3 linked regions of the Oreochromis niloticus genome follow. The protein of the gene in region 3 interacts with the protein of the main gene of each other region in a pairwise test. Links are inferred from orthologs where the notes say so. Each region holds a gene or a part of one and is shown on either strand. Other genes may lie near its edges. The genes, in order: efhc1, lrrc20 and zinc finger BED domain-containing protein 1.

Evidence for each region.
Region 1: the proteins of zinc finger BED domain-containing protein 1 (region 3) and efhc1 interact in binary tests that used the Homo sapiens proteins (3 or more experiments, as listed by UniProt). The two-hybrid records come from large-scale screens. The link is inferred for Oreochromis niloticus from reciprocal best matches to the Homo sapiens genes ZBED1 and EFHC1.
Region 2: the proteins of zinc finger BED domain-containing protein 1 (region 3) and lrrc20 interact in binary tests that used the Homo sapiens proteins (3 or more experiments, as listed by UniProt). The two-hybrid records come from large-scale screens. The link is inferred for Oreochromis niloticus from reciprocal best matches to the Homo sapiens genes ZBED1 and LRRC20.

The regions. Positions count from the first base shown.
Region 1 is NC_031980.2:12,763,890-12,771,882, forward strand, and holds the start of efhc1 (EF-hand domain-containing protein 1), read left to right. Parts: upstream 1-4,945; 5' UTR 4,946-5,113; coding exon 5,114-5,179; intron 5,180-6,930; coding exon 6,931-7,152; intron 7,153-7,235; coding exon 7,236-7,523; intron 7,524-7,628; coding exon 7,629-7,778; intron 7,779-7,993. Other genes in the region: eva1aa (protein eva-1 homolog C), read left to right, coding at 925-1,107, 2,325-2,704. UniProt on the Homo sapiens protein: Microtubule inner protein (MIP) part of the dynein-decorated doublet microtubules (DMTs) in cilia axoneme, which is required for motile cilia beating.
Region 2 is NC_031973.2:12,226,690-12,233,930, reverse strand, and holds the start of lrrc20 (leucine-rich repeat-containing protein 20), read left to right. Parts: upstream 1-4,133; 5' UTR 4,134-4,336; intron 4,337-4,583; exon of another isoform or gene 4,584-4,878; intron 4,879-6,860; 5' UTR 6,861-6,879; coding exon 6,880-6,949; intron 6,950-7,210; coding exon 7,211-7,241. Other genes in the region: ndr2 (nodal-related 2), read left to right, coding at 721-1,463, 3,283-3,435.
Region 3 is NC_031986.2:2,929,100-2,936,899, forward strand, and holds the start of zinc finger BED domain-containing protein 1, read right to left. Parts: upstream 3,068-7,800; 5' UTR 3,031-3,067; coding exon of another isoform or gene 2,931-3,030; intron 1-2,930. Other genes in the region: dhrsx (polyprenol dehydrogenase), read right to left, coding at 2,931-3,030.

The sequences.
Region 1 (7,993 bases), on a different chromosome or scaffold from region 3:
AACATAGCCGTAGGTCCAGGTGGAAGCATTTACCTCATCAGCGAGCACTTCCAGTATAAACTGCATTTATCAGATAAAGAGAGCCCGACACACCTTAGAGACTCTGCAATTAGAGGTCATTCCTGCGTGTGACAAATCACCAGAGTATGCTTACCTTCATTGACAAAAGAAATAAAGCATGTAAAAATGACTATGCAACCACACACACACAGAGAGCTCAGGTCACTAAACTAAATGCTTCTGTTTATTTTGACTGTTTGAGGTTTGGTTGCTTTTTTCAGTGGAGCTAAACTTGCAGTAGTTCCACCATACCCCATAAACAACTACGTCAGGTAAACTAAAGGCAGCTGTAACATGAGTATGAATCCCTGTAATTAATTCATGGTGCTCCTGTTTTCTCTCTCTTTCTCACACTCTCTTTGCAGTGAGCGCACAACAAAACCCAGCTGGTAAACACTGAAAGAAGTGAAAAAAGAAAAATCTAGAGCAGGAAGTAGTCGTTCCCATCTATAAATAGACTTTTTTGTTCTAAGATTTTGGGAAACTTTTGAAATGTCTCCAGAGTGCAAACTTTTCCATGTGGTTCTCTGTTAATGACCTGAGTCAGAATGGATTTAACCGAAAAGGATGTTGTGTTATCTTCTGAATCACAAAGCTCCCTGTGAATGTGTACGTGTGTGTGTGTGTGTGTGTGTGTGTGTGTGTCTTATGCGTGACGCATCTTTTTAGAAAATTTATGTGATAAAATCTTCCCCAAACCACTGTGAGACTGTAGGCGACTGAGACTGATGTCATTACAATGAATCAGCAACAGCAGATTCTGGATTTACTGTAAAAGCAGCACCATCATAATGTAACTGTACATGTAGCTGCTGTAAATTACTCATTGTGTACTCATGTCCTGTTAATTTACATTTTTTCCAGAAAGGAAGAAACCCAGGGAGACGAACGCCGACGAGGAAAAGTCTTTTGAAAACGGAAAAGGAGGAGAAGAAAGAGAAGAAAGTCCATTGCGTCCCCCGGACATGAATCCCGTCATCAACTCAACATCGAGTGGCAACATGGCCCTCATTAGTAACGCACTGGCAGCCTACACTTACGTATTAGGTCGGGTAACATTGTTCTGAAATCTACTGTAACATCACATGTATAGCGTAATGTCTGGCAGTTAGACTTTTAGAGATCTTAACTGCATCTGCTTACGGAGTGGCCCCACAGTGTAAAGGTTAATGCATTCACCTTGCAGCTTGGATAAATGGGAGGGGTGCACCAGGAAGGGCATCCGGCGTAAAATCTGTGCCGAATCGAAATATGCAGATCCAACCGCTGTGGCAGCCCCTCGGGAAATAAGGGGCGGACGAAAGAAACTTGATCTCTTTGGGAAAGAGATACAGTTAGCAAACAAAAAGGCTGGACCTCTGTGTTCAAGAGCATTATCAGCTCCTGGTTGCTTCTTGGCCCATGAGATTAGTGACCACGGGACTGCACTGCATGGATTGATGTGTGTAAAATCCCCGTTTCCCATTTCTTGTCACTAAAAGGTGGGTAAATGTGGGCCAGAGGATGTAAGCAGAGATAATGTCTCTATACATTACACAGTGTGGGTCACCTGCTCTAAGCAGCTGCTAAAACAGTCACTGAAATAGTTTGCCTGTTTCCTGCTATAAACAGTTTATACATAGTGAAATGTGCAGCACAGAAGGTCAAATAAATACACAAGGCATGCAGTGAACATGAGCTTAGGTGGTTACTTAGATCACTTAGCTTTTAGCTTTCTTTTAAGGTTTCCTCAGAATGCAAAAAAGGTTGCACGTTATGATTTCAAGAAGAATTCTCAACGTCTTAATGGTACAAGAGAAATGAAATTGATTATATTAATGAACAATAATATAAACAGAAGTATCTGCAGCTAAGCTGGATGCAGAATGCAAATGCAAAGTACCTGCATGCAAAATGCAAGGAAGACATGAAGGATTCAAAGCTGAAAATGGCATTCATTCATTGAAAAGGGAGAGCTGTTCTCGTCTCGTGCAAATGGAGCTAGAGTCACTTTGGTTTTTTCAGTGGTGAAACACAGATCCCATCAGAGCTGTGACATCTGTTGAAGATGAAAACCAGGAGTAGCAGAATCTGTAAGACATCTTAACTAAACCAAGCCACGTGAACACTTGCTGTGCAGACAATGTTCATTACACTGAGTGAAACGCATCTGGCTAAACAGGTCAGGAAAAAATAAGAAACCCAGTGAGAAAGACTCAGCTTAGTGTTCGACACATTTTCCTCATAAAGTCAACTAACAAGTTCCAATTTCTCTTCTACAACAGACCACCCAGAGAGGGCTGCACTATTCTTTGTCTGCGGTGTGTGTTTGGGCCTCTTCCTCACCCTCTTTGCCCTGGTAGTACAGATCTCCTGTCGCACCGACTGCCAGCCCCGCCAGCGGCCTCCCGCCAAGAAACGACCGCGTCCTCCCGACTCATCCTCCGATTCCAGCGACTCGGACTCAGACTGGGACACCACCTCAGATCTGTCGGCGCGGAGACACCGGCGCTTTGAGCGTACGCTCAACATGAACGTGTTCACGTCGGCGGAGGAGCTGGAAAGAGCACAGAGGCTTGAGGAAAGGGAGCGAATCATCCGGGAGATCTGGATGAACGGACAGCCGGACATCCCAGGGACACGGAGCCTCAATCGATATTACTGAGGACTGCAGAGGAACGATTGATAGGCGGCTTACTTAACTCGAACAAAAATTTAGAACACACTTGGGTTGGAGTGGAAAGGGACAAGGCCTCGATGAAGCTTTATAAGCATGAATGCAAAAGCAGCTGGACTCATACTGATGAGAAAAGTCGAAGGTACTGCAGACTTTTAAAGAAAGTCCTCCTTCTCTGCTGATTTGCATATTCCTCTGGGTATCATAAGCTATTCCCCTTTTGAGTAAAACAATAAGCTCCCTTTCTGTATGGTAAGCTTACCTCTTGGCTGGAGGAAGCAAGAGGTGAAAGGCTGCACTGCCTTGCCCATGACCTCCGCAGGCCTTTTTGAAGTGGGGATTTATGGGTTAGCTGCCTTAGACATACATAGGCCTGCAGAGACTACATGGTGACTGAAGGACCAAGGCCTCAGACAGGTCTGTTTATACAGAACCCCAGGCAGCTGGAAGAGACTGTGACACTTACAGCTTTATGTTCTGTACCCTCCAGTATTCAAGTGTGAACTTTAGCAGAGGGGTAGCATAAAGCAAGTGCACTTGACAATGTAAGATAATCTTTCCACAGTGAATAACCATGCTGCCTTTTGAGCTTTATAAAACCAAAAGATATTTTTGTGGGAATTCATCTCAGCCCTTCTGAAATATATTTTAAAATATTTAATAGTTTATTAATATTGCGTATTTTTGTTGTCAAGTATGGTTTATTATGAGATATTTTTATACTTGGCGAAGGTTGTCTGGTCTAGCACCTCAGGGATGCAATCCTAGTGTTTCTGTGTTTGGTTGATGTTTTTTTTTTTTTTTTTGGTTATTAAGAAGGGGATCGGCCCATTTAAACCGCTGTGCCAGCATTTAAAGAGGAGAACTAGAAATATCATATAAAGAGCCTCAAAGAGGTTTTAGTGATTTTAAACCTTATTTTTGATACAGTATGTTTAACTCACAGTGCAGTGCCTTTTCCAGCTGTTACATCTCTTTGTCAGAAATGAAGCTGATGAGTCTCTCTGTAACTGGTCAAATTATTTATTGATTGGAAATCATAAATTCATCTCGTTGTATGCATATTCCCTTTGCTGAGGTGGACCATGCGTAAAAGCTGAATGCGTCTGTTAAACATTGCACTTCTCCCCAGATGTAAATGTGCATTACCAGTAAATGCCAATTTCTATCAGTGACTTTGCTACAAAATATTTTTATGGTCTTGTCTCATGACAGATGTGTGAATTTCAGGTCTTGCGCCATCCATGTATTCATTTCAAAGATGCTAAACAGATGCCTGTGGAAACCAGCGCTGCAGAAAGTGGCGAATCATGTCGCCACTTTAATCTTATAACCAGTTGACAGTCCAGTTCTGCTCGTGCTTCCCTGACTTCAAGCGTAGAGTTAGTTTTCATAAATCAGTTTGGTATTTTTCTGAGCATAATTAAAGAGTAAACAGGACATATTAAGGTCATCTTCACAACACTCCCTCCACCATACATACACCCTGCACTTCTCCTAGTTTTTTGTTTTTTTTTTAATAACAAAGATATTTGTTGTGTTTAATTTTGAATGGGATTAAAATGTGCCAATAACTGGTGACGTGAGAGACCAAAATATGACTCCTGTGCTTGGAATAAACTGTGTTAAAAAATAACGTCTTTTTTTTTCCTTCTGCACTTTCTTCTGAAAAAACAAGCTGCAACTGTGTACATTGACCTATATTTTTGACTTTAAGACTATATTGTGAGTCTCAGGAAAAAGAAGACGCTTTAGCCTAATTCAAGGACTGAGAATACAGGGAGTTCATAAATAATACTGATTTACACAAGGAGGCCATAAGACAGCATGAAGAAGAACTCGTGAGCCAGTGGCTCACTGGATCTGTAAGATTTGTTATTGAGCGCCACCTTGTGATGAAGACAGATCTCTACAGTGTGTTTTAATGCAGCACATAAGGAGTGAAGTTAGTGACTGCAAATCACTTTGGCTAGCTATACAAAGTCAGCACAACTATATAGATAAATGCATTTGTTTTAGTGGGTATAACATAAAAAAATACTGCATCAAATTAAAAAAAAATAGAAATTATAACAACTTAATATCATGTTATTATATTGTATTTTATTTTTGCCGTTTTTATTTCTTTGTTTCTGTGTTTGCCGCTGTGAATTTCAGTATTTCCTTGGGTTTTTACCGCGAATTTAATTTTGTTTTAGGAAATATTTGCTTTGTTTCCATTGAGACGCCCCTGTCGTTACCATGGATACCATAAACTTACCACGGTGAGAGCTCTCGTGCAATTTTACACACCAACGAAACCTGCTGTTAAATCCACAAATTACACAATTACCACTGCTAACATCTTGTGCAAAGGAGGAGATAAAAAATATATATATATATATATCAAGACTGGAAATGTCTTGTACCTGGAACAGCCACGGACTACCATTTTTACCGGGATATACATTTCGAGATGTGACGGTAAGAATATGATTAAACAAAACTATAGGGTTTGCTTAGTAGTTTGAAACATTAACGATTGACAGAGTTTTACTTCTTTTCTTTTTTTTTTTTTTAAATATTTGTCGATTATTTTTTAATAATGCAGATGTCTTCTTACATTCCTCCACTAGTTAGGTTGTTTAAGTTGCTAAAGTACTAGCCAGCTCTCGAGTGACCTTTAAAACATCCCGGATGTTCTCTAAAGAGTCTTTGATAATTATTGGTTCTTTTATAAGGTTATTTTATTTTACCAAGCCCTAATAAAAATGAACAGCAATGCTCTGAATCATAATAACACATAATTATTATTATTTTTTCATAAAATTAACAAATTCACTGTTGACAGTTAACACAGAGAGAATTTATCCCAGGATTGTTGCTATCCATTCTTGCTATACTTTAGGGATGTTATTGTTATTTTGTCTTCCTACAGGCATAGCGCTCAATACTTGATCTACAGTACTGTTCAGTAGTCTTGAGCCACCCCTCGGAAATGAGAAATGGGTGCAAGAATGTATTGGAACATGTGCAAACATACATGGGAATACAGTACTGAAGGCAAAAACTGAGTTTGTACAATTCTAATCACCCTGAAAGTCAATATTTGGTCTGAGCACCTTTATTCTTCAACACAAACAGAACTCTTAGGCAACAATGCTTGTCATTTCTTTAAGTAGTGTTCGTGAATAGTTCCCCAGGCCTCTTGGGGGACATTTAAAAATCTTCTTTGGATTCTAGCTGCCTTTTGTTACATTAACAGGGGTGGTAGCTCAGGAGTTAGAGCAAGTCATCTACTAATTGGACAGTTAGTGGTTTGATCCCTGGCTACAAGTATGGCCAAATTTCCTTGGGTAAGATACTAACCCCAAGATGCTCTCCAATGTGAGTGACTGGTTTATAAAAAGCACTTGGGTGAATGATGTTGGATTGTAGGGAGTAGAAAAATGCTATTTAAAGAATTATCAGAACATTGAGGTCTGGACTCTGGGGAGGCCAGTCTATCACTGATTGTGCTCCCTTGTGTATTTTTCTATCCAGTTATGCCTTCACCGCATTGGAAGTGTGTTTTGGCAAAAAACAAAAAACAAAAAAAAAGGTTTCGGCAATTTTATGGATTGACATGATTGATCAAACTCGGTTCATAATTCAATTAATTTTGACACCGCTGTCTGAAATTCAGCCCCAAACCACAACAGACCTCCACTGTGTTTTGCTCACGGGTGCCTAATAAACTGTGTTTTCTGTGTTCTGTGTTAATGGGAACAGATGATGTGTTTTTGTGACAGTATACTAGTAAGATAACTAGAGATATATTTTTAGATTGTTATGTTGTAGTTTTCTGCTATGTGTAGACAACACTGGCTCATTGCTTGAGTTAGGTGTCTTTTTTAATGCTTCAGTCATTCATAGGTCAATGTCAAGTGAGTTAACAATTAAAGAATTCCTCTAAAAATGGTCAGGAACAAGGACTTGAATTAAAATCCTTGAAAAAGCAGCCAATAGAACAACGTTAAAAGACCTTAAGAAAGCCTGGAGAATTATTGGCTACTTGGAACAAAATATACACAAGGGGTGGCTCAAGACTTGCACAGACTACTGTAACATTGGACAGAACACTCCCATATTGGTATTTAAGTGTAAACCACATCAATTAGTGATAAGTGCTTCATATAATTACATTTCTGTCTGTATTTACCTGAGCTAATTTATTTCTTCCTCTGTGTTTGCAGAAGTCAGCCTTCCATCGACCCCAAACTCTGAGCTATAGGAATGGTTATGCTCTGCCCCGACGTCCCACTGTGGGCATTGGCAACGACCCTCTTTTATCAGAGCAGCTCACTCAACAAGAGATTAGTGAGTTAGCCTTCGAGACACCTGACCTTACTTATGGCCCCTTTGGTAAAAGAGTACATGAAGACTTCCTCCCTGCTCATGTGGCCCTTGACAAGAAGGTTTGGTAACACCTATAGTTGTAAAACTCATAAAAACATAAAGGTTCTTCATCTGTTATTCATCACTACCACCTGTCTTGCAGGCGCTGCGCTACTATGGATATTTTATGGAGGCTATTTTGTATTCCCCTGAAGAAGAGTACCGTGTACGCCCTGTGGTAATTTACTATTACCTAGAGGATGACAGCATTTGCATTATCGAGCCCACAGTAGAGAACTCTGGGATACCACAGGGAAAGCGGATCAAACGCCACCAGTTGCCCAAGAATGAACGTGGAGAGCATTACCATTGGAAAGATCTCAACCTTGGTATGGACCTGGACGTGTATGGGGTCAAATACCGCATTACCCAGTGTGATACCTTTACTAAGGTACAACCTTATGTGTTTGAATGCTGTGGAAATGAAACTATGCATTAGAAGTCTGCTGTTATAAATACACTTCCTGCGTGTTCTGATCTCTCATTCTTTGTACAGGAATTCATGGAAAGTGAAGGCATGATTGTAAATGACCCTGAGCTAATGCCAGCGGATCCTTACATCATGCGTCGTGAAAACCCTCCACCGTGTCACACTACACCTTCCACATTTGATAATTTGCACAAGTTTCTCAAGATGGACCGCAAGGTAAATGAAATTCTGTCCTTTCCAAGCTGACTGTGTTACATTTATCACGTTTAGCACTGTCACATCACAGCAACGTCCAAGGTTTGAATCCACCAATCTTGATTTGTGTTAGAGTTCTAATAAGTGTTAGAAATTAAATTCCTGGATTGGGTATCCCTGCCATGAAATAAATGGCAGATATAATAGAGGCATGCCTGTATTTGTAGTTTCATTCT
Region 2 (7,241 bases), on a different chromosome or scaffold from region 3:
AGCAGCTTTGATTACTGAAATCCTCTCATCATGAAGTTCTAGAGGACATATATTATTATTTTCTCACCAGATAAGCCTGCATGTTCATTAAATGTTTCATTTTTTAAATTTAACTGACTTCTGTTATGAGGTAAATAAACTTTCAATTGAACTGAAAAACATTTTAGGTTAAAATAATTCCTGTTGGCCGATTAAATCCACTAAACAAGCAAAACACATAAGGTTGAAGCTGTAGGCCTTCTTATTGATTTGCATCTTCTTTAATAAAGCTGTTACAGGCTGCACACTGAAAATGTCATGTCATAGTTAAGATATATGTTGCACTTATACCTTACATAAGTTTATTAATTTGGTAGGACCCTACATTATCAGAAAAGTAACCTTCAACAATCCAGTGATCACCTTTAACAAGCACTTGGAGATTTTGAGGAAGGAAAAACGCTTAGAGAAATAGATTTCCAGCAAAACCAGGCTAACAAAGTTGCAGCTATCTACCACCTGTGTGGTGAGGAGGGAAAGACAGCAATCTAATGTTTGGTAATATAATAATGGTGATGTTTTGTTTTTTTTAATTTCCCACACAGGTGGTTGTTTGTTGGTTTACATGCATCAGTAACACACAATAATGGTCCTGATTTTGGCATAATAATCAGTCATTATAATCTGTGTCATACAAAGTGCTCTTCAATTATGCTAATTCTTCCATTTTTGCTATATCAGATTTGACGTACAGACATAGATCCTGGGTGGCGACCTTTGACCTCCACACGCTGGGAGCTGACAAAGAAATCCAGGCAGCAGAGTTGAGAATCAAGCTACCTCGGACAATGAATGTTTCCAACATTAGTGTGGAGGTCTATCACCACCATGACCAGGATCAGCAGCTGCTGGCACTGCTCACAGAATCGTCACTAGTCACATCATCGCAGAGCTGGAAAGTATTCAACATGACAAATCCCCTCTTGAGCTGGCTTAAAGAGAAATCAACAACAAGAATTCGCCACAAGCGAGTGTCAAGAAGAAGGAAAGCGATAAAGAAAAGGCGAGGCCTGCTTCTTCCCGATGAGCTCGTTTATGAAGCAAGTTTGACAAAAGACCAGGATGTGAGTGACCGGGCCTTGCTGGTTATCTTCTCACACACAGGGTTTGATGAAAACTCAAAGGCTAAAGCGAGCTTACTCCATACAGCTGAACAATCCAAGTTCTTCTCCCCTGCTGAAATCAAAAAGAGGCGAAGGAGCAAACGGGGCCAGAGAGAGCAAACAGCAAGAACCCCACAGCTGTTCAAAAGAGTGAGCGAAAAATCACTCTGTCGCAAAGTGGACCTGTATGTCGACTTTAATCAGATTGGCTGGGGGTCCTGGATTGTCTTTCCTAAAAAGTACAATGCCTACCGCTGTGAAGGCTCCTGCCCTAGTCCTCTGAGAGAAGACTTAAATCCAACCAATCATGCCTACATGCAGGTGAGTGCCTATCTAGATTTTCTGTTCTTACACATATTCATATTATCATCATAGGAACATTGCATGCAGACCGTTTAAAAATTCATATGCACACAATCACTGGCAGATGGATGCATCAGGGACAATTTGGAGTTTGAGCCACTTACCACATCTATCTATCTATCTATCTATCTATCTATCTATCTATCTGTCTGTCTATCTATCTATCTATCTATCTATCTATCTATCTATCTATCTATCTATCTATCTATCTATCTATCTATCTATCTATCTATCTATCTATCTATCTATTTAAAGCAATTCTGCTAACTTTTAAAATACCAATTACTTCACAATGGAAGTGGCTGAACTGTAGCTAAACCACTAAAGTACAACTTATGGAAACAGTACTTCAGACTAATATGTAATAAAATAAACTTTACGTGATCAAAAATGATAACAACTATGAAAAATCTGCAGGCAAGCAAAAATACCACTTAACTCAATTTACCGGAAGTCCTCAGTGGCTCTTGAGTCAAATAATGTTTATCTAATTATGTAATGTAATGTATTATGTAATACATTATTAGTAATAATGTAATAATGTTTTTGTTCACTAAAAAGAAAAAAATTGAGACATTTAGCTACAGTAATGTGTTAGATCAGAGACATATCATTGTGAAAATGCACTACAAACTGGTCAAGTGTGTGGCGGTGGCTGTCTGATGGATGTCTTAACAATGTTAACTTGACACCAGTTAGGACTGAAGAAAAAGGGTGGAGGGCCTCTCCAAAGGGGTTTTACAAACAGTAGAGAACAGTAATGGTAAACTATATAAAAAAAAATATTCCTGTGTTTTTCTACCCATCTCAAATACTTGAATCACTATGCAAATATGAATCATAGTTACTAGTTTTTTTGTGTGTTTTTTTTTGTTTTTTTACATTTGTTCATTCAGTACTTCCCAGCAGCAAACAAGCCCAAGGTTAGCCACTGAGGTGTGACTTAGAAATACTGGCAATGGTTAATATGTAACATCAGCTGCAAACGAATAAAAAAGAACAATTTAACATTAGTTAGAGTTTCTATAGTCCCTGCTGTAGGGAATTAGAAGAGAGGGGTTGAGGCAAGGTAAATAAACAGATGCAAAAACATCACATTCTTTTGACTTTTGTGTGGCAAACTGGTCTGTGGGTTGTTAAAAACAACCAAGAGAGCCCTGGAAGGGTCAAATTTTCTACGTTCTTGTACAGTGTTACAATGTTACAATGAAATAATTGCCATCCATCCATCCATTCTCTACCACTTATCTTTTTCAGGGTCACAGGGGGCTGGAGCTTATTTCAGCTGTCTTAGGGCGAGAGGCAGGGTACACCCTGGACAGGTCGCCAGTCTGTCGCAGGGCTATGATAATTGTTTTATTATTTTTTGTTTTGCTAATTTAGTAAAACATGAGGATTTGAAACTTTTTATGATAACAAATCTGTTTGTACTCCCTTTCCACACTATGAAAAAGGGAAAAACAAGATATCATTTTTTAATCTCAAATATGACAATTATTTATCAGAACGTCTGTGGTTTAAAGTGGTTCAAAATATTATGTTAAACACAACAAAACGTATAACAAATAGCTTAAATGAACAGAAATGTTCAAAATACAACAATCAACAAAGCAAAACAACTTACTAAATTAAGTGAAAAGCTGAATAGCAAATATCAGATGACAGTAAGTGGCTCAGTATGTCAGTAAGCTAAGACAGGATAACGCTATTACCAGATTTCTTTAAAGAACTGCAGTTATCTACAACTGACCTAAAGCCTCTCTCTTTCTTTTTCCAGAGTCTCCTGAAGCATTTCCACCCCGACAGAGTGGCCTCACCCTGCTGTGCACCAACCAAAATGAGCCCACTGAGCATGTTGTACTATGAAAATGGAGAGATGCTCCTTCGACACCACGAGGATATGATTGTGGATCAGTGCGGGTGCCAGTGAAAGCTAAAACCAGCTGCAGAGCAGGCTTAACACTGTACAGAAATTCTTGACAGAACCAAGTAATTTCTGAATATAAAATAAAATAAAATAAAATAAAATAAAATAAAATAAAATAAAATAAAATAAAATAAAACATTTATACAGAAGGAAGAAAGCACTGCAAGACTGTGTCGGAGAGTTGTACAGAGACAACATTTTGATGTGTGATGTAGGCTTTGGTTTGTTAGAATAGTTGCATCTTGAGATGTACCAAAATGTGAACTCAAAAATGGGGTTCACCTATTGTCACAAACTGAAGTTCATTCACTTTAAATTATCAATTGTTATAATTGTAAATATTTAATGGTAATGCTGATTAATATTTCAGCACAGTTTTATTGTTGACTACCATTTGTGTATATTGTTATAATGGCTATTTATATTGTTATATTATTGTAAATATTAAAATAAAATTACTTATATGTACATGTTGCACCCTTAATATGTATTTTGTTATGCTGGTTAAAAATTATATGGTGTCTAGTTATATGTTTTTTAAGATGCTACAGTTTCATGACAAATAGCATGGTGAAGCTTATGTTTAGCAACAGGATTGTGTGTGAACTGTTTCACAAAAGCACTCACACTCAAAATAGGTGGACTTTTCTAGCTGTTTCAGTCATCTACAGTAAGTGACTGCCAAATTCCTCTTACATTCAAAATAAAGCATTGTAAAAGGAATATCCAGCCAACACTCTAAAGTTGCAGTTTGTTGTAACAATGCTAAACTAGGTTCTATTCTTCTAAAGCAATAGAGCTCATTGTATTCAAATCCTTTGAAAATATACTGACTAACCAGGAACTTGCCAGATTCATGACTATGGCAGAGGTCAGACTGGCAATAGCTGACCAGGACACAGAGGTAAGACAACATTTAACTTCGTAATATCAGTTTCCACTCAGGCAGATGTGGTTATAACTATTTAATTATAGTTGAATTAACCAGCAACTATTTAAAAAAATCTTTTATACGTGTTTAATACATTTTAAATATGATTTAAGTTATTTAGTTGTGGTATTTGCGCCTTATTACTTATGGAATTCGTGTATAACGCTATTTTTTTGTTTTATATTTTAAATTTTCGTGTTCTGCAATTTCAAAGCGCAGGACTGACGCTCGTGAATATCACGTCTGTTAGCTAGCAAGCTGACCGAAGCTCATGTTTCCCTAACCGAAGCTAAGCATTAACTTGCTTTTGCATTGTTTGATAACTTCTTTGCTTATATGAGGTGATGCTAATGTATCGTACTGACCGAAAAAATAGCGCAGCAGCAAACAAGTGAGCCAGCCTCTCCCCTGGTTAAAAATACACACTCGTTAAACTTGCCTGGTGAGTTGAGAAGCTGAAGCTAAGTTAGCTAACACCGGCAGCTGCCCGTTTTGGTAACACTAGCAGGCTTGAGGTAAGTGACTTTTTTGACACAGAGCATATCTATATGTCTGTCATTGGGGGAAATTATATTAGTCTGGAAGTGTAGGTCTGACGTAGGTCTAAAGATTTTTATGTTAGCATACATGCTTTGTTTACTAGCTTTATGGTTAACCAGAAGTGAAAAGTGATCTTCATGAAGGCTCCACTGAAGCAGCGTTTCTGGGGTTTTATGTTACTGTTTCCACTTTGGGGACTTAATGCGTTTTAATATTGAAGGGCAAAAGGTGAATTTTTCTCAAGTACTCTGTAATTCAATGTAACAAATGTTTTATAAGTTGCCTTTAATATTACTTTACCACAAATTAACAGATAGTTTCAAATTAATTTAATTTTGTTTTAATTTGAGGAACAGCACTGTGTCTTTTTCTAGATCTGGAGAAAGCATATGATAGGGTCCCAAGAAAGGAACTGTGGTACTCTTAAGAGGAATTCAGGAGTGATAGAGAAGTATGTTAGGTTGGTGTAGGACATGTATGAGGACAACAAGACAGTGGTGAGGTGTGACAGAAGTGAGAGATGGGTTAAAGGCAGAGGTGTGATTCATCAGGGATCGGCTCTGAGCCCCATTCTCGTTTGCACTGGCAATGGACAGGTTGACAGGTGATGTCAGGTAGGAGTCCCCCTGGACTTTGATGATTGTTTAGAAGTGGAGATATGCACTAGAGAGAAGAGAAATGAAAGTCAATAGAAGAAAGACAGATTTCACGTGTGAGAGAGAGACAGGTGCAACAGTGAACCTGTAAAGGCAGTAAATGTAGATGACTTTAAATACCTGTGGTCAACCAAACAAAGCAACAGAACAGACAGTGGACAAGAGAGCTGAAAAGCAAGGGCAGTTTGATAGTGTGGGTGGAGACCAGTGTTGGGGGGATGTGTGACAGAAACGGCAAGCAGCAAGAGTGAAAGGAAAGGTTTACAAGATCTTAGTGATACCTGTTATGATGTATGTTTTGGAAATAATACTGCTGAAAAAGAGAGGAGGCAGAACTGGAGGTGGCAGAGTTGAAGATCTTAAGGTTTTCATTGGGAGTGATGAGAATGGATAAGATTAGAAGTGGGTATATGAGAGGGACAGTTGAGGTTGAGCAGTTTGGAAACTAAGATTGAGAAGCAAGGCTGGAATGGTCTAAACATGTACAGAGGGATATACTGAACAAAGGATGCTGAATGTGGAGCTGCCAGGCAGGAGTAAAAGAGGAAGACCACAGAGAAGATTTATGGATGTAGTGAAAAATGGCATGCAGAGAGTTTGTGTGACAGAGAAGGATGCTAGAAGTAGGGTGAGATAGAGGCAGATGATCCACTGTGTCAGCCCATAAAACAGTCACAAGAAGAAGACAACTCAACTGTTTAACCTGAGCTGTCTTTTGTTTGTGACTACTGGAACAAATAAAAAAATCCTTGCTAATTTTTCTGATCATTTTTTATTTTTTGATTGTTGATAATCATTTTTTTGAGTACAAATTAGTGCTAAACGAACAGAACTAGTAATAAAAACTTAACCAGTTCAGAATGTAAATGTAGATAACCAAACAACTAAGACCTTAATATTGTGCCAGTGCTACGTTTATTAAGCTAGAAAAGAATATGAAGAAGAATATGAATCCATCTGACTTCGTGCTGTTAATACACTTGGAGGTCAGGCCTTTACATTAAATTCTGTTAGAAATTGCCTTGTGTAAATAAAACCAGAAGTGCACAAAAATTTGGAGTGTGTCCACGTTAAACAACTAAAGTGAGACATTAATCAGTACTAGCAATCTTTAATGAGATTTAGCCTTAGAAGGTTCATTTTTAGCCTGTGGCTAAAGATAAAACAGGCATCGACTGTGTTGTGCTGACTTCAGTGGGATGTCAGCATGGGCAGCAGCTTTGACTGATAGTGTAGTTACGATTTTATCATCTTACCATTTATATGTGGAGGTATGTGTAATGTTGCATTGTGTCTCTTAGGAAAAGTTAAAGCAGAAAAATGGCTGAGGCTGTTGCAAAAGTGGCCCGGAGGATTAATGCTACCGTAGAGGAGGGAAAAGATAGTGTGGGTAAGATACACTTTAACATATTCTTTCCTTTGTCTCTCACTTAATCTTTGTTCAGAGCATATAAATGAATTTGTTGTCAGAGATAGTACCAGCAGGTGGCAACATAGGCTTAAATTTGACGGCTTCATAACTTGAAATGCCAGAATGTAATAATAAGAATAGTAAGTAATAATGTGTAATTGTCAGACTAATTATAGATTTACACTGTGTTAATGTTAATGTTTGATTATTTTATAACTATGTTCTTCTTCTTCTCCGCAGACCTGTCAAAATGCATGCTTGCTTCTTTCCC
Region 3 (7,800 bases):
ACAGCAACAGTACATTCATGTAGTTGTTAAAAGCTTGATAATATGTTAAGTAATCCAAAGTATTCAGAATATGTTACTCTCATTGAGTAACGTAACGGAATACGTTACAGAATACATTTTGGGGCATGTAATCTGTAATCTGTAATGGAATACATTTTAAAAGTAACCTTCCCAACACTGACTATGGAGCAGCAGTGGTCACACATGGCAGCTAATCAGAGGTACACTGGGGCTGTGTCCCAATTCAGGGTCTGCACGCTTGAAGTACGCATTTTAAGTGCGAGTACGTCACCGCCACGCGACGACGGCTGTCCCAATTCCAAGTGTACTCCAAATGCGCCGTCGATTTCCCCAAATATCAAGCGTGGTCCGGTGCACGCTTCGTGGTCCCATATATCCCACAATCCATAGCGCGGCGGTGGGTGTGGATAATTTTGCCGCAAAATACGGCAGAAGGGAGCGGCCGAAGAGTGAACTGTCAAAAGTAAGTACTGAATATGATGTCACTTATTTATGTGCGAATGTTTAAGAACATTAAAACATTACTGTTGGCCACGTGTCGGCAAAGTTATGTGACATTAGTGATGTTTGTACTTTCAGCGTTTACTTGGTTTTAAAGCCTCTACTTCTAAATATATATATAGTCGACCTTAATCTTACAGAGAATGTGATGATTTTATGGATAATTAAAGTCAGTCATATATCCACAAACACAACAAGCTGAAAGTCAGTGATGCTGCTCGGTTTGCAGTCCTGAATATGACGGCACAAGCAGGATTCACTGCACTGTTAATGTTAGCTATGTTATATTGCTGCCTCTGTTCGGTGGTGTCGAGCCAAACGGACTTTAACGTGTGTTTGAACGAGCTGACGGTTCACTCGTTAAGCTGAAAGAAAGATGCTTTAATCACAGGAGTCACACATGTGTCCACTGGACCATCTGGAACTCTTCTTGTTTAGCACTCGTAATAACACAAACACTAAATCCTCCTTCTCTTGTGCTGTTTTGTAGCAGTGTGTACACCTGAGACTGTCACCTGTCTGTCTGTCCTGCACTCTCTCTCTGTTTCTTTCTCTCTGATTGTGGAATAAAAGTATGAACATGTATTTATAAGTTACACTTGTGTTTGAATCCTGCAGCTTATCACACATTTGATTTCCATGTGTGACAACTGCAAGTGTCCAGAGTGAGGACAGACTGGGTCCCTCAGTTTGTTTAAGGCTCTGATATCTATTCTGTATGACTTAAAGCAGTTATGACATGCTCTGATTTTCTCACCTAATAAAGGAATATTTCATATATCAGTCTGATCTTCATTCAATCAGAAACAGTTATCACAGCTCGTACATTTGCTTTTTACACATATATGTAAGCATTGAGCCAAATGTAATAATGCCAACATATTGAAAGAACAATGTTCGTCTCTTATATATAATACATCTGTATATACACTGTCAGAGATACTTGTCTTTGAGTGAAGATTTAAGGTGATAGGAAATATAAATAACTGCAACTTGAATCTTTGCCAATACTATAATATTGTCCATATTATATTAACATTACCACAGTGAGATGACTTTAGTCTCATGAACAACATTAGCTAATTATTATTTACTAACTAATCTTGAAATGACTGTTCAGTACAGAAATGAAGCCCAACTATCATGTTTTACAGTCCTGTGGTCTCAACTAATCAAAGTGATGTCATGACAAAAATGAATGAACAACAAAACATTTTTCTCCTTCATTTCTGTCACACAAAGCTGTATGAAACATTTCTCGCGGTTAGTATCATGGTTGCTAGGCAACCTGAACAGCGCGACGAAGGCTAGACCGTCCCATTTCACAAGCCTCGCACTTCCGCACTTCTCGTACTTGTAGTACGCACCGTACGTAGTACGCGTAGTGTGCGTACTTCAAGCGTGCAGACCCTGAATTGGGACACAGCCAGCGATCTGCTGGAGCTCACAGCACGAATCACTGGGATCCTTTCAGATATGTTAAAGTACTACAGCTGATGTTCCCCTACCTGCTGAACTCCACTTTAACCCCTGAGTTCTGTTAGGGTTAAAAATAAAAGTTTGTATTCACATATACTATTATTTTATTACATATTGTATAAACATAGTTTACGTTGGACTAAAATAGCTGGTAAAAACATGCTTCAGAGAGCCGCCACTTATGACCTCTGTCACTGTTTTAATGGACCCAGGCTGTTACAGCTCCACCAGATTTTTCTTTGCATTTCTAAAGACAAAGCAGGGTCTTATGTCACACCTTTACTATAGTGCCTATGAGCTCAGTGAGGTGTGAAGCCTTGTCCCTGGGGAAATTTTAATGCACTTCAATAGAAAAAGCATAGAAACGTGGTTGTAAAGGGACAACAGTCAGTGCATTCACCATCACAGAAAGTGTACAAACATGAATCAGTGTAAGAAATAAAAACAAATGATTGATAATGAAAATTAAATGAACCTCCTTTGAAAACATGATTATTCTGATGCAATCGGAGTCACTTTGCGTCTCAGCGCAGGTACAGGTGGGTCACAGCCCGCGCAGGTGCCCACAAGGAGACGGACTCACCGTAAGAATCATCTCAGTTTAATCTCATCCCAGCATCCAACCGTTTGCGAGTTAGAAAACGTTATTTAACACCTGTTCAGCCGCAAACACACTCACCGCCCGTCTCTGACATAAATCACATTTTCCTCACACTATCGATCGGTCCAGAATTACAAAGACAACTAACGAGTTCTTCAAACTCTCCGTTTCCTGTGACTAGTTCTTACAGCTGACTGAACAGCTTTATACCTGCACGCGCTTCTGTCGATGACGACATCAGTACTGCACATGGATCATGATAAATATGCATCAGGCACAAACGAGCAGACAGTCAGAGAGCTTTGTAAGAGAGAGAAGCGGAGCTGACCTGGGAGCGTAAAGGAGCGGTTGAAAATTTGGTAGAGAAGAACTTTAATTCCGCATAAGTACAGTTTGAAGAGAGGCACCAGCACCGACTGAGGCGACATCCTTCTGCTTCCCACACCGAAAAGCTTCCGAGTCCGAGTGTGCTTCCGTTAATGAGTCCGAGTGGACGCCTCACTGGGATAAGTCTGTCAGTGGTTCCGCCCTCTTTGCGTCATAACTTCTTGAGGGTGGAACCAAATGAGCTGAAACGCATTTTCTTCTTTTTCCTCAGCACATGTTATTCAGCTAAAGCTGTGAACACTGTTTAGTTTGAACAGCCACAATCAATGCATCCTGCTGTCGTTATGTCAACAATAACAGTATTGGTACTTTGTAGTTTCTGATAGTATAACCCGCTGTGTATAAAGAGGCTGTGAGCTGTTTGATGGCCTTATTTAGACGTTATACTTATTGGGCCATAGCAGCTGGGTTAAAGTAGGGGCAGAGATGAGGTGCCATTCATCAACATTAACAACAATAAAAATAGAATACAAAATAAAACAATATATCGCAGTGGTGGGACAGGGGTACCTTGACACAGAGCTTCTGAAGCACAGTGTGGTTTGTTTTTTGTCACATGCACTGGAGCTTCAGCTTCACAGACCATCACTACTAATAACTAGTTTACACATCAGGTAAATGTTAAAGTCATATTTTCCACCAGCTTAACCAAACTTGCCATACTAACTGAAATTTCTATTCCTAGGCAGACATTAACCAGTCCCAACTGGAAGACCTACAGACAATAAAAATATGTCAAACTTGTTGTATGAGTGGGGCTCAGATATTTTCTGTTGAGGATTTCTGTTGTTGCTGAGGGAGCTTTACAGTGACACGAGACTGTAATCTATCACATAATAGTTTGGATTGAAACATCCCTCTGAATGATGTAAACTCAAACACTAAAGCTTAACTTAATACTGCTTTAAGTCTAAATCCTGGTTACAGTGTAGTGATATGCTCCAAACATTATCTATGCTGATTTGTAATACTGCAATGATGCAGACTGCAAGAACAGGTTCAGCTGGCCACAAAAAGGCAGTAAATAAATAGACACACAGATAAAGTCTCCAGGAAATGAAATCTAGGAGCATTTTTAGGGCCTCCAACCTGAGCGGTCTCTCAGATAAACTCACCTCTAATCTAGTTCCTCCTGGTTCTTTGCAACAAAAGCATAAATATTAGTAAAGATGATTGATTTATTGCAAATATTTAACAAATCTTGATCTCGTCACCAATAACACTGATGTTCAGACTAGAATAAAAGTCCGTTTTTAAAAGTGAATATTTAGCTCATTAAATCAAAGGCCAATCAGTTTAGATCTTTTTGTAATGCTGCTGGATATTCCAACAAAAAGGAATGCAACAAATCTGTCATTAGTCACACACTCAATAAGATTATATGGGTATAAAACCCAAATCTGCATCTCCAGAAACACTTCCCTCTTTGTCTCACAGTGTAATGCATTAGTGATTTTCCACTCTATGGTCACATGCTTTATTCACTCAAATTAAATTAGTAACACTGCTCCTTTCAAAAAGCTCTAGCTGTAACTCCACCTGTCTACATACTTTTGCTAACAAACAGACATTTTCTGGTCTTCAGCAGATTCATTCTCCACATCTTTGGCTGTAGTTCAGGAGTTAGAGCAGGCCATCTATTAATCAGACGGTAGGTGTTTAGCCTACCATATACACTACAATAAAACTAATATGGCTATTCAGTAGTGGTGGCCTAATGAAGCTTTCTGAAGCGTTGAAGCTTGTACTGAGGAAGGCTTAATTACTCAAAGTTTTCAATACAGTCTGCTTTGGTGCCATCTGGTGGGCAAAAACATGAAGCGCAGCTTGAATCTACAAATTAAATGAACTGCCCACTCTCAGAGCTCAGTTGGCAGTTTCTGTTTAATATAATGTGACAGTTCTGAGTGATCACTGAACATGTATTTGATTGAAAAATGATGTGATGTCCACTCGACTAATGAATCATTTTAAAGAAGAAACTTTCCTTGTTTGATCATGTGTCATGCTGTGTTCTCCCTTTACTTGATGACATTTGTAAAGATAACAGATAAATAAAACATTACATATATTACAGTACAAGACACTGTTATAATAGGTTGGGAGTAATGCTTGTGCTGTGAGGTCCCCGTAATTGTGACAGGTACGTTTATATATAACATATTACAGCTTATTTGTATAGTCTATTTCTTCTTTATGGTTGTGAAGGGGTTGGGAAGCGCATCTGTAACCGGAAGGTTGCCGGTTTGATCCCTGGGCTCTCAGTCCTGGTCGTTGTGTCCTTGGGCAAGACACTTTACCCTACTGGTGTTGGCCAGAGGGGCTGATGGCGCGATATGGCAGCTTCGCTTCTGTCAGGGCAGCTGTGGCTACAACTGTAGCTGCCTCCACCAGTGTGTGAATGTGAGAGTGAATGAATAGTGGCATTGTAAAGCGCTTTGGGTGCCTTGAAAAGCGCTATATGAAATCCAATCCATTATTACTCCTGACATTTTGGACATGTTAGCTCTTTATGCAGTAAAGTTACAGTGGGATACAAATAATATCAGGCTGATCCTGCCGTAATTTGTTCGTTCCCCCGGTTCAAATCACGGACAAACAGTATCCCACAGCTGTTTTTGTTTTTGAACCCATTTTGCACAGAGAGACATTTTTTAAAAAAATGTATTGACAGCAATGTTGAATATTATTACACAGGAAAAAACAACTACACGTAAAATAATTACACCGTGACGCCTCTGCCTTTCTAAATGGAGGGACAGTAACTGTGTGTAAAACCTGAAGATAGTCAGATTAACAGTATTTTGTCTCTATCTGCCATTCTGCAATTCATCTCATGTAAACAATAACGTGGCGCACAGCGTGACGTGAAAAGAGGCACATACCTTTGTCATTGCGTGACGAACTCTGTAATCCTCGTCCACACGTAAACGCAAAAAAGGAGTTTTAAATAATCTCCGTTTTCGGTGAATCGCAACGCCGTTTACGTGTTGACAAAAAGCCCAAACGCACAGAAACAGCTGCGTTTTCAAAAATACCCGTGTAGGTGTGGACGTAGCGTAAAAGAGTTAGTAGTGTATTTTATTACTACCTGTAATTTATTGCCGTTTACTTGTATTTGCTTAATTGTTTACTAAATGTTTGAGGTGTGAAATAAACCGCAATGGAGTTTGTAAACAAAATATGGGTGTGTGTGTTTGGAGGATGTGTTTGTGCGGGGGGCGCGAACATTTTTCTTGTAAAACAAAGGGGGGCCTGGCAAAAAAGGCTAGGGAACGACTGGATTAACTGAAGGCTTTTCAGTGAGTTTTTAGGACATCCTGATAATAAAGAATTACAGTAGTCCAGCCTGGAAGTAATAAATGCATGAACTAGTTTTTCAGCGTCACTCTGAGACAGGATATTTCTAATTTTAGAGATGTTGCACAAATGGAAGAAAGCAGTCTTACATATTTGTTTAATATGTGCATTGAAGGACATGTCCTGGTCAAAAATGACTCCAAGGTTCCTCACAGCGTTACTGGAGGCCAAGGTAATGCCATCCAGAGTAAGAATCTGCTTAGATACCATATTTCTAAGATTTTCAGGGCTGAGTACAATAACCTCAGTTTGATCTGAATTAAGAAGCAGAAAGTTAGCGGCCATTCAGGTCTTTATGTCTTTAAGACATTCCTGCAGTTTAACTAATTGGTGTGTGTTACCTGGCTTCATGGATAGATAGAGCTGCGTGTCATCTGCATAGCAGTGAAAATTTATGCTATGTCTTCTAATGATGCTGCCTAAGGGAAGCATGTATAATGTAAACAGAATTGGTCCTAGCACTGAACCCTGTGGAACACCATAATTGACCTTAGTGTGTGAAGAGGACTCTCCATTTACATGTACAAATTGGAGTCTATTAGATAGATATGATACAAACCACTGCAGTACAGTACCTGTAATACCTACAGCATGTTCTAATCGCTCTAATAGGATATTATGGTCAACAGTATCGAACGCAGCACTGAGGTCTAGCAGGACAAGCACAGAGATGAGTCCACTGTCAGACTACTCAAAAACACAACTGTGTTTGAGCAGGAACAGGAAGTGATACTCTACCGCAGAGAGAGCGGACACCAAGAGAGAGCAGAGAGAGTTCAGCCACCTGTCTCCGCTGGAGAGTCCGGGGGCCCGTCCAGTCGTCCTCTGTTTTAGCTGGGGGTTCGGGAGAACCCAGCCAGTATCACGCCCCGTCAGCTGGTGGGTCCGAGGAGCCCGTCCAGCATCACACCTCGTCAGCTGGGGGTCCTGGAGGACCCGGCCATCACATCCTCGTGTCCGCTGACGGCTCTGGGGAGCCCGTTCAGCCACCACCTGCTCCACCACCTGCAACTCCCACACCGTCGCCTACAGCATCACCGCCTGCAGCTTCCACACCGTCGCCTGCAGCATCCTGTTCCGCAGCTGCCACGCTGCCGTCTGGTCCCGCAGCTGCCACGCTGCTGTCTGGTCCCGTGGTTGCTACACCGCCATCAGATCCAGCTCGGCCTGTACCACCTCGCCTTCGCCGGCCGCTCCCCAGGCCCTAGCTGGACATCATTATCGTCGAGGGCGGCCTCCTGAACGAGTTCTGTCGCCGCCACTCCCTTCGGTGTCCAGACCTGTTCTGTCGCCGCCGCTGCCTTCGGCATGGCCGGCCTCCGGACCTGTTCTGTCGCCACTGCTGCCTTCCGCGTGGCCGGTCTTCTGATTTGTTTCGCCTGTGTCGCCGCCACCGCTGCTGTCTGCACGGCCGGCCACCTGAACCGTGTCTGCGCCACTGCAGCTTTCGC